Linked DNA regions of Drosophila melanogaster. The protein of the gene in region 2 interacts with the protein of the main gene of each other region in a pairwise test. Each region holds a gene or a part of one and is shown on either strand. Other genes may lie near its edges. The genes, in order: tbrd-1, sa and tbrd-3.

Region 1 (4,237 bases), on a different chromosome or scaffold from region 2:
AGTATCAGCAGCAGCAGCAGCAGCAACAGCAGCAGCAATCGCCCTCTTCAACGAACAACAAAATAAATGGACTCGCGCGGAGCAAGCGCCAGGCCAACACAAGTGGGGCCAGCATGGTGCTGACCACCAGTACGGCGGCCACATTGAGTGGCCTCTTCAATCAGCAGCGAGCCAAGCCCATACGCATTGCTCCGGCTCCACCGGTGGCCACAACGGGCACAGGCAACATTGGGACGATAGCAGCAGCTGGAGCTGCAGCAGCTTCAACTGGAACCGGGACAGCGACAACATCGGCCCGTTCCGAGATCCTGAAGCTGGCCAAATGACCAGCGCTGTCGACGTTATCGTCGACAGTGAGCACAGCCAGCTACACCCTCGTTATCGGGCATAAGTAGTGGGCAGCAGGAGGATACATACCGCCAGGCCATATATATAGAGTTATCCATACATATGTGACGATACGAGTATAGAGTTTAGTGTTAGGTGTCAGGCCTCAGCTTTGGAGTTTGTTGTTTTGTATTCTTTGACAGACTCCCCGCTTAGTTGCGTCGCTGGGCGGCGCGCGCCACACTTTCGAAATAGACAATAAAACAGCAAGATGATGTTAATGAAAATCAAGTTACAAAGAGCAGTTCTAACAATTAGCGATAGGTTTTTGGCTTCATAGACAGCGCCTCGGCGCAAATTTGCGTTGTTTTGTATATAGTAAGCACCAAAAGCTACCAAGATGTTTCGTATTAAGTATTTATTTATTGCATATAGATCCTTGGTTTTTATAGGTTTTGTTTTCGTTGCAATTTATAGACCTACCGATTATTTGTATAAATAGGTAACCTAAGCTGATACTTAGCCACTAAGTTTAAAGAACATCCACAACAATTACATTTGCCTTGTCAAGCAAATGATATCAAATCAAAAACAGCTACTGATTTTCATTTATTGTGATTGCACAAATTGTTTTTTAAACTCTAGAAGAACAAATTATTTATGTCAAACACAAAAAGGTAAAAATCATGAGAAAATTAGGAAGGGTGGAAAAAAATTATATTTATAAATTGTTATTATTTATTTAGTTGAAACTATTGTAAAATTATAATTGTAAAACAAAAATGAAATCACACTTAGCGGAAACACACGGAGCAAATAAAAATTTAAAAAACAAGATAACTCTTTGATTCATGGCCCGCTTGACCCAATCTCTAAAGAAATACACCCTTGTATACAAACTGGGAATGTTCGGAGTTCCACACGCGATTCCCACTGAAGTTATTCCCATGACTTGATACTAGCATCCGATCCCGATGTGACGAACCAGCAGAGGACCTCCCGAGTCACCATTGCATGTGTCCTTATGGTCCGGAGATCCAACACACAACTGGGACTCCGCCTTATAGCCTTCCGGCACATCCTCGTTTGCATCCAACCGTAACTTGTAAGTTGGTAAGTTGTACCAAAGACACTAGAATAATAGAATAGAATTATTCTAGTGTCTTTGGTTGTACTTACACATCTGAGTAGAAGCAGTGAGTAGCCGTTAAAACCACCTGATAACTTATCAAGGTGCCACCACAAAACCACTTCGTTTGATTCCCACTAGAGCTGTGATGATCCAGCCGAGCAACCATGGGAAACTTTTTTTTGGCATATCTGCGGTGGCAACAACTACCAAGGTCCCTGAAGTTGCACCTTAGAAAGGAGTATTATCACTCATACTAGACGATTGCTAGCTATCGAATGTAAGCTCACTGTGAATGTCACAAATTTTGACAGACCCAACGTAGCACAAAAAAGTCAGTGACAAAATCCGTCTGGTCATTTTTTATTTTCTACTACTCCCAACGGAGACTTACATACAATAAATGTAAATCACATCACCATAGACTCTAGTGTCAAGAGGTAATTATTAGTGTTTGACGAAAAGAAGTTCAGTAAAGTTCTGTATTCCGAGCCGAAAGGAGCTGTGAATTTTGAGTTGTTCAAAAAGTAAGCATTTGAAATAGTTCACATTCTTCCTAAATACCAAAAAAAAAAAAAACTGCTTTAGGCTAATATTAGGAGTTGGGTGACCTTACAAACCAGCAATGAATGAACTGCAGTCGAATAGCAACCAGCCTCCGCCGCGCAATGAGCCGTATCTGCAGCCGGTGAATGGCATCGTGCAACCGCCGGTGATTCCGCCACCGAATCGTCCTGGGCGAAGGACAAACATCCTAGAAGAGCTCAAGTCCGTGCTGAATTGCTTATGGCGCAATCGCTTCTCGTATCACTTTCGCCATCCCGTCGATTCTGTGAGCCTGGGTGTGCCCGACTACCATGCGGTGGTCAAGCATCCGATGGACTTGAGTACAATTAGGAAGCGACTGCACAACAAATACTACTGGCAGGCGAGCGAGGCTCTGGAGGATTTCAAGCTGATATTCGATAACTGCTTGTTGTACAATTTGGAGGGCTCACCGGTTTATCAGGCAGGGAAGCTTCTAATGGAGGCCTTTTACATGCGAATGGAGTCCATTGATTTGAGCACGGAGGTGGAACTAAAGCCGAAGTCGGAAAAGCGCAAGAGAAAGGCTACTGAATCATTGGATCAAGCCTCGACTTCGTTCTCAGCACCTCGAGCATCTAACAATTATTCTAGACAGTGGCTCTCGAGTAGTTCCTCATGGCTCTGTCCCCCACCGATGCCTGGCGGGGTGTCGTCATTTAATCCTTCATTCCGAAATTTCGTGGGTCCCAGCTTGATCCCATCTTTTATGCCCGATTCCTTGGTGAATCCCATGCAATCTATGCATCCAATGTCATCAATGATGAATCCGATATTCAAGAATAATTGGGAGACAAATGAAGCAATGGATCCACCGCCCTCAGAGCCAATTTCCTATCGTCCCTTGGATTCCTTGGCAGCACCCTTACCGTCCCCTCCAATGGAACCCATGACTTTGCCTTGGCCAACCCCAGCACCAGTTGAATCTCCAGCTTCATCGCCTCCTCCGGCTCCCAATCCACCCATTATCATCTGCTACAAGTCTCTCGACCGAATGATTGAAAAAAGCCACTCAGATCATCTTCTGAAGTCGATGGTAAAGCGAAAGCGCAAGCAGGTTACATGGGCATTTAATCAGGCTGACTACTGGCGAAGGTACTCCCAGAATCCGGACTACGACCACGATCGCGAAGAGAAACTCGATTGGAAGATACTACAGGAGCGCTTGGACTCCGATAACTTTGAGAGCTTTGATGGATTCGTGAGCTCTGTACGAAAGATGTTCCAGAACGCATTGCGTTGCTTTCCGGAAGATGGATTGGTCAAGGTTTCGGTGAAGAAAACCAATGAGATCTTTGAGAAAAGGCTGCCCAAGTACAGGGAGTTAATTGCCACGGCCAAGGAAAAGGGGCGTCAACTGGTGGCCAGCAGGGAACAAGATTTTCGTGACTCACAAAACCTGCTCATTAAACAAGAAAACGCTAATAAGAATTTCAAAGGATGGGTTCCAAAGCCATTTATTATTAAAACGGAGTCCCTGTTTGTGCAAGAACAGCGAGTGTACAAAATGGAGCCCCAGGATGTACAAGAATTTTCACCTGGTACGGAGCCGCTGGATGACCAAACTTATGATAGCGATTAAAGTGTGTAGAATTCTACCACGGAAATGAAAAAAAATGAAAATGCAAATTATTATAATTATTATTCATAAAGAATTGTTATTAGCCTAAAATATGATTCTAATTACGAGCTACCGACATTCTCATAGTTTAATTATACCTGTATTACTAGATGCGTTGAAAAGTATGGAACAGGCAGAAGGAAGCGATTGCGATCATATACATTTGTCTATACATTTTTGATCAGGATCAATAGCCGAGTCGATCTGGCCATGTCCGTCTGTATTGATCTCATTTTGCCACGCCCACACTTTTGAAAAATGCTTAGATTTTTCTTCGTGCAAAAAAAAACACTAGCCACGCGCCTCCTTTTGCTACAATACGCCCAAAACGGTCACGACTATTTTATTCCCCAGTATCTATCGATATCCCAGAAAAATGATGAAATGTTCCCTTTGGCATTCCCACTAGCTGAGTAACGGGTATCTGATAGTCGGGGAACTCGACTATACCATTTTCTATTGTTTTTAAATTCAAAATAAAACAGTCAAGCACCAAGGTGCCACCTCTCGGTTGACATTGCAACTACGCAGAGCTAAGGTGACCAGTCGTCTTGCAATCTGGCAGCCCTATAACA
Region 2 (3,581 bases):
AAAGCGCTTCTTGAAATCATAGCTATCATACACTATCAAAGGACGTTTATCGTAGAGTAAAAGCGTATTCTAGACTATATACCACTAAATATCCGTTTCAAAATATGTATTTAATATGTTGTAGACCTGATCAGAATTACTAGGCCGGACAATCAAACCATGTCGGATTGTCCGTCCGCATAAACATGGAGATCTTAGGAACTATACAAGATTGAAAGTTAAGAAAGTAAAGCACGCAGATTCTACTAACATTGACGCACAGGAAGCTTGAACAAGATTTCCACGCCTAGTTTACCGCCCACTAACCGCACAAAACTGTCACGCCCGCAATTTTGAAACATGTTTTTATTTTTAATTTTATTATATGTCGAAAATATTTTTGCCACGCCCACTCCTAGGTCAAAAAACCACTTGAAACTGTCACCAGGCGAAATATTCATATTTATTTCTATTTATTTTTTCATTTTCTTTTTTATTTTTCAGTTCCATTAGCTAAGCAACGAGTATCTAAAGTTTTTGTAACGCAATTTGAAAACTATATATATATTTGAATACTTAACGTTAACGACTTGGAACTTTATTATCTTTTATTGTATTATTTATAAACAACAAGTTGTCAGTTTTCAATTGAGCAGAGATTTTTTTTCTCTGTGGTCCGTAAACGGTAGCGCTTGGAGGCAAAAACATTAGATCCCAGATAAATACGGGCGAGTTCATTGTACAAATGTCAGCCACGGAACGCCCACAATGCACGACCGCCAACATAATCCCCATCATCTACATCATCATGATGGGATCGTAAAAATATAAAGTGGAGAAAAGTGGTGGGGATATGATGGGGGAGGGACTCTGGAAGGAGGTACAATTTGTTCAATTGCAGCAGCCTCTTGGGCGTCGCAAACGCGAATCTGTCTGCATCTAAAGTAGTTTTTCCACTCTGACACAGTGACCTCGTGCTTGGATTTTTCCATTTCCCCCCAGTTTTCCGTTCTCCATTCTCTTTTCGCACCATTTGTTGTTGTTGTTGTTGTTGTTGTTGTTGTTGTTCGGCTTATGACTGATTATAGCTCACGTTTTGGCTAGTCTATGACGGAGTCTGGAGAATTTGTCATCAGACAAACAATGGCTCCCACTTTGGTTTTCTTGGAACCCATTCATTCATTCATACGGCTGTAAATATTTGCATAACTCATTAGGAGAGATGCTTAAGATACGAGTCTCTATACGCCGAGTCGTTTGCAGTAGGTCGCGATCGCAAAAGGCGAAAATATTATAATTTATTTATATATTATTATAAATATATTAGTTTTAGGGGAGTGGTGCGGACAGTTCCCAATCGGTATTTAGCTGCTGGTCTTTAGTGCTCAGCCTTTTGGAAAGATTGTGTAAACAGTTTAGGCTGTTATGCTATAAACTGTTATACGGAAACATATATGCAAATTTTTGGAAATTTGAAAATTAGAAAAGAACATGGATTCCTTGAAATATAATTAAAATATTACATAAACACTTCAGATGTTTAATAAAAATGACTTTGGCAATCCTAAAGCAAATAAATCAAATGTCAATTAGTTATCGTCGATAAACTTAAGGCCCGGCCAGTCCGTGACACTTCGTTTTAACAGTCAGTCGAATCGAGTGATTTGCCCAAAAATGAATACCTACGACGAAGTCTTGGCAACAGTGCTGGACAATTTGCTGGCATCCAAGAACTGTGAGGTGGTCGACGACGTACTGCGTCAGTCGATGCTGGAACTTTTGCGTGGCAGTAAGTAGCTAGAAGAAAATTCGTACCATGTCAATGGTATTGTTAATCAATGTGTTCCTCGAGAATTCCGTGAGATTGCACGTCAGACTACCAATTGGTCCAATCACGCTGGTCGCTGTGCACCCAGCTACTTCGATCTGGAGCGCACCTTCATCCGGATGAACATCAAGGTGGGCGAGCTAAAGGCCATGTACGAGGGTCAACCGGATTCGTTGGTCTTGGTTGAGTGCAATGCACCGGAGACACAAGACCAGGACTTCCACAGTGTGCCGCAACCCGTGCTGAGCTCCACAAAGGCCGTGGAATTGGCCTCCACCACGTATATTCCGGACCATTTGCCACCATTTCCAGGGGCGCACACCTATAAGAGTTCGACCATTGAGAAGGTTACGGATCGCAGCTATGTGGCCATGAGGAATCGCCATGCCGAGAATGAGCTGAACACCCAAAACGCCTTAAATCAATACTACCTGAGGTGCAACCCCAATATATCGCTGTTCGAAGAAACCCAACGCGATGGAAGTGGCCACGTTTTGGATCTAGGTCCACCCAAGAAACTTCCTTATTCGGACGCCCTGATGCCAAGAAATCAGGTCTTTGATACGGACATCTATGCTCCCATCGAGGTGATAACCCACAAAGGTATTTAATTACTATACATACCCAGTAATATTGGTGCATAAAACGCTTTTACACAGCCATTATATGACATTTTACGTAAGACAGGGCAGAGACAGGCCCTAGAGTTTAAGTCTGGAAAACTGATTTTCCTTAAATCCCGCGGACTAAAACGGACGTATTTTGTGAAATAACTTAGAGACTGCACTGAGTAACCAAAGTGGAACATTTAATACTTTTGATCGCTTTTGCCTGACCAAGCTTATTTCATTGCGCAGCCATCACTTTCACATGGTCCTAACAACTTTGATCCCGACAGCCCTCGACTGCCGTTACTTGGAGAAGCCCAAGTTGCACAGTTCACGCCCATCCTCAGGAAATTTCGAAGAGGAAGACGTGGAAATGGAGGAGCCCTGCAGTCCAGGGGGACTAGGTATTGAAAAACCGAATTAAACTGCAGCTCAGTAAGAGGTGAAAAGCACACGAAATGTTTCCATTGCCAGACCAAGCTACTCCACGGAATAAAGTGTGAAAAAATTAATTTATTTCAATTACATTTCATTAAACACTGCCACACGTTGCGATGATGCTGCGAGAGTTCGAAGGAGCAAGAGGTCCTGCGCCTGCTGTAGCAGCAGATGCTCCTCCTGCTGCTTCTGGCGAACGCCTGCGATTCCAAAGTATTAAATAACTTTGTAATTTAATTAACTTTGACGTCGGCATCGCATCGTCTGCTCTGCGACGCTTAACTTTGATTAACGTTTGCAATTTTTCAACAACTTTCGACCGAACTTTCTCGCCATCGAGCGGGCGACACTGCGTCCAAAGCGTCCGTAGCCAAAGGATTGTGACTGTGATTTCTTCGCCTGGCTGGGATTACAAGGGATTTGCCTCCTCCTCTTATCTTCCGCTAAAGGGCACTACCCTTAGTTGCTTGAAATTTTATCTGACGATTGGAAGGGTTAAGATTCAGGGGGGAATATTGAATGCAATTAGAGATGCTGGGTGATGTTTGGATGGGGTGGAACCTCCCTGGATGACAAGCTAATAATCCCGGGGAACGAGCACAATCACTTGGAAAACTAATTACAGGGGAAGAGTCGTGGCAATAATCAATAAGTAGAGCCACTGCCGATTTTTACATTCCGATAGGTATAACCATTCAAGAGTTATATGTCAACTTGTTGTTGGTAGT
Region 3 (3,400 bases), on a different chromosome or scaffold from region 2:
TCGATCCGAACGATGCCGCCCAGATGGACAAGTTGCTAAAGGATGGCATGCGAGTACTCAGGAAGGAGCCCCGCTATGTGCTGGCCTGTCTGCCAGACGCCCACAAGCTGCCAGTGCTGCGGGAGTGGGTCAAGAGGAGGTACGGCAAAACCTACAGCCAGAAGGAGCTCGAGGAGAGTATAGCCGAGTCGAGCAGGATATTCGAGCTGGTCACCATCCTCCAGAGCAGTCCCGCCAGTCCCGATCTTATGGGCATTGATCGCCTGCCCAGATCCAAGGAGAACTTTAACTTCTATAAGCAGATTAAGAATACGGTATATATATATATATATATGTACATATATTTTACTATACTAAAACTATATTTTTCAGGCTGCCCTGGCTAAGCAAACATATCACGATCAGTTGAATGCCCGCTACCTAAGCATCGTGAGCTCCGCCTGGTACGCCATGGGCAACTATCTGGTGCCCGGAGGACCTCCTCGGAAGACCTTTTTCGCTTACATAGCTTCCAATCCGCTGGAGATCATGCGTAACAAGACGTGGAATGGGGATTTCCGGAACTACCGCTCCATGCGCGACAAGAGAAAGGAGCAGGAGAAGCTTTTGGGCAAAAAGGACTAGATTACAATAAATTAAAACTCTTTTTCAATCTGAAACTCAATTATATTTGGGCTTGGTGCGGGCCACTCTTTTGCCGGTGAACCCCTTGCTGGCCAAATAATCACGGATGCCGCGTTTGGTGTGCACCTTCAGTTTGCAGATGTCGAACTCCAGCTCCTTGTTGCAGTACTCGGCGCCCTCCATGCGTTGAATGAAATGGATGACGTGGAGCAGCACCTCGCCGTCCAGCTGCTGAATCTTGGCGTGCAGATCAAGGTCCTCCTCGGTTGTAAAGGGCTCCTGCTGCTCCGAAGTTTCCAAAGTTGCCGGCGGAGTCCAATCGGGGGTCGGAGTACATTCGGTGGTTGGAGTACATGAGGGGGGCGCACCCATTATGGAGGGGGACACCTCCGAGCCGTTCACCTCGTCCTCCGGCGATGATGAGTCCGATTCATCCGAGGAGCTCTCTTCCTCGGCACGCACTTTACTGCCGCTGGAGCAGATGTAGAGCTGCACCTGGGAGTACATCTCCTCAAAGATGATCTGCAGCTGTTTGGCCATGTGGTAGCACAGGTGATCGGGATTCGTGTACAGATAGGTGTTGTAGAAAATCAGCCTTATGTCTTTGGCGAAATCCGCGGCACTGAGATAGCAACCCGTATTCAAACGATGCCTCACGGTGGACAGATCCATGGGTTCCCGGACAATCTCATGGTAATCGTGGAGGCCCAGCAGTTGCGGATCCAGTGGCTCGTAGAAAACCCAAGCAATATTCTTATAGGTACTGGAAAACAACCTTTTAATAATCACCTTGCAGGCATTAATTTCCGGCGAGGACCGTTCAGTTTCTTGTTTTGCAGCCATTTCAGAAAAATATCTTCGATATCGACTATCGGAAAATTCTATTATAATTTCTATCGTTTTGACAACTTGAACGCAATACAACTGACAATATTCACACTCCGGGTTGCCCTGTACGATGATATTTTTAGCTTATGAAAACTTTTAGGATTGCCACCTCAATCCGAGCAGAAAAGTCAATCCACAAATGCGGTTTGGGGCAACAAACAAATTCAGTTAATTATGCAAGTGGCTCCGGCCAGGAAAGTATTTCCATACATTTTGTGTGGGAGTGCGGTCCTTTGTGGGAATGCTCTGCCTCAATCCTGAAGCTATGATGGTTAATCTAATTCCGAGACCCGTACAAACAGTCCTTTTTTCGGTAAACGTATTTAAAATCCCCATCGAGCTGTGGGGGCGAAAATATTTATGGTCAACCGCTGACGTTTGCTATTTTAGAGTGCCGAAATATTTCGTTAGCATAAAAGTTTTGTTAGGACACACAATATACATCATTTTTGGGCAAATATTTGCAGGGCTTTCATTTGGGCAGTCAACAAGTTGGGTTTACAAAAGTTAAATCGAAATCCTGTTTAAAGTCACTCTGTTAAGTTGGCTTCCACAGGCATGAGGGGAAATCCTGTTCCTGTGGCTCTCTCCCTCTGTTAGCTTGCGATCCACAACTGAGAGCAACCGATTTACGGAGACCTTCATTTTCTCGCTGTTAACTTACCTGCCACAAAATGTTGCAAATTGGGTGGCAATCGGACCAGGTCTTGGCCACATCTTGGGGCGCCTCTTCAGTCTGCTGTTGGGCCTTTGGGGGAATGGTCCTGCGAATGGGTCAATTGGGATTGCACTCCACTGACCCACTTGCGAATGGGGATTCACCTCTGGGCATCATCTGGTTCGGATGTTGACCTTCAACCCCAAGTTTGGAGACTTTACACATAGAGTTTGCGAAACCGAAAGAAAAAGAGATTAATCTTCAAAGTATATTTAAAATATATATAATCAAAAATACCAAATAACAATATAGATAAAGTTATACCCTATATCTGTCATATATCCACTTTTTCGCAAGATCATTCGCTTTGGAGGCATCTAGACCTAGAATAAATTGATATGAGTGATATTTTTATGCATATGTGTAGCTGAGAGCCCTTAGCACACGATTCCCTTTGATCTTGTCGATATGTCAGCGGGGCAGAACTTTACTTCGCATTTCACGGCAAACATTCCGCTCTCTATTGCCGATTTCCAGATAAAAATCTTGTTCGTTTTTCACATAAGTAAAACTGCGACACTCAATCAGTTGGCAGATGAAATTATACACCCAGAGACTGGGCCAGGTGCTAAAAGGATCGCCAGGGGGACGCAAAGGAAACGTGTGAGGCTGTCAGTGGCAAGCACATCCCTTTCCCCCAAACCCACTTGCCTCGCACCTGCGAACGAATCCCTACCTGGCCATCCCGCATCCCATTGGAACCGGGCAATATATGGATAAATATAAAAAAAAGGGCGGCAATATGAAAGCCCTGCAGAAATGGAAAGAAGGGAAGAACCAGCAGACGAGGACGCCGAGGAGATATGAGAAATGTACATTTGGACAGGCTACACACGCTGCCCTCGCACGGCACAGCGATGGAGAGGGGGCTATTCGAGCGAAAGAGACGGCGACAGCCAGTCAGATGTCAAACATTCTTTTGACACTTTGTCATAGCATCTCCCGGTGACACTTGTCAGCAGTCGGATTTCGCATTTCGGTGGAATGGCTGTGCCGCAGTTGATTTATACTGCCATGCATATGATATATATGTGTGTAAATATATACCTATAGGTATGTACGCGATTGTATCTTAATAGCATTTACTTATGCACCGCCCGAATTCAATTTAGCTAATGCAGCAATAAGAGTCCATTCATTTACCGTTTTCTGAGTATTGGCTACAAATTA

The links.
Region 1: the proteins of sa (region 2) and tbrd-1 interact in a two-hybrid assay, tested with the Drosophila melanogaster proteins (one study listed by BioGRID).
Region 3: the proteins of sa (region 2) and tbrd-3 interact in a two-hybrid assay, tested with the Drosophila melanogaster proteins (one study listed by BioGRID).

Annotation. Positions count from the first base shown.
Region 1 is NT_033777.3:23,891,097-23,895,333, reverse strand, and holds tbrd-1 (testis-specifically expressed bromodomain containing protein-1), read left to right. Parts: upstream 1-1,773; 5' UTR 1,774-1,983; intron 1,984-2,044; 5' UTR 2,045-2,081; coding exon 2,082-3,623; 3' UTR 3,624-3,737; downstream 3,738-4,237. Other genes in the region: sba (six-banded), read left to right, coding at 1-326.
Region 2 is NT_037436.4:21,404,769-21,408,349, reverse strand, and holds sa (spermatocyte arrest), read left to right. Parts: upstream 1-1,611; 5' UTR 1,612-1,653; coding exon 1,654-1,768; intron 1,769-1,831; coding exon 1,832-2,410; intron 2,411-2,705; coding exon 2,706-2,839; 3' UTR 2,840-2,925; downstream 2,926-3,581.
Region 3 is NT_033778.4:23,326,090-23,329,489, forward strand, and holds tbrd-3 (testis-specifically expressed bromodomain containing protein-3), read right to left. Parts: upstream 1,493-3,400; 5' UTR 1,468-1,492; coding exon 661-1,467; 3' UTR 650-660; downstream 1-649. Other genes in the region: CG9861 (uncharacterized protein), read left to right, coding at 1-314, 373-624.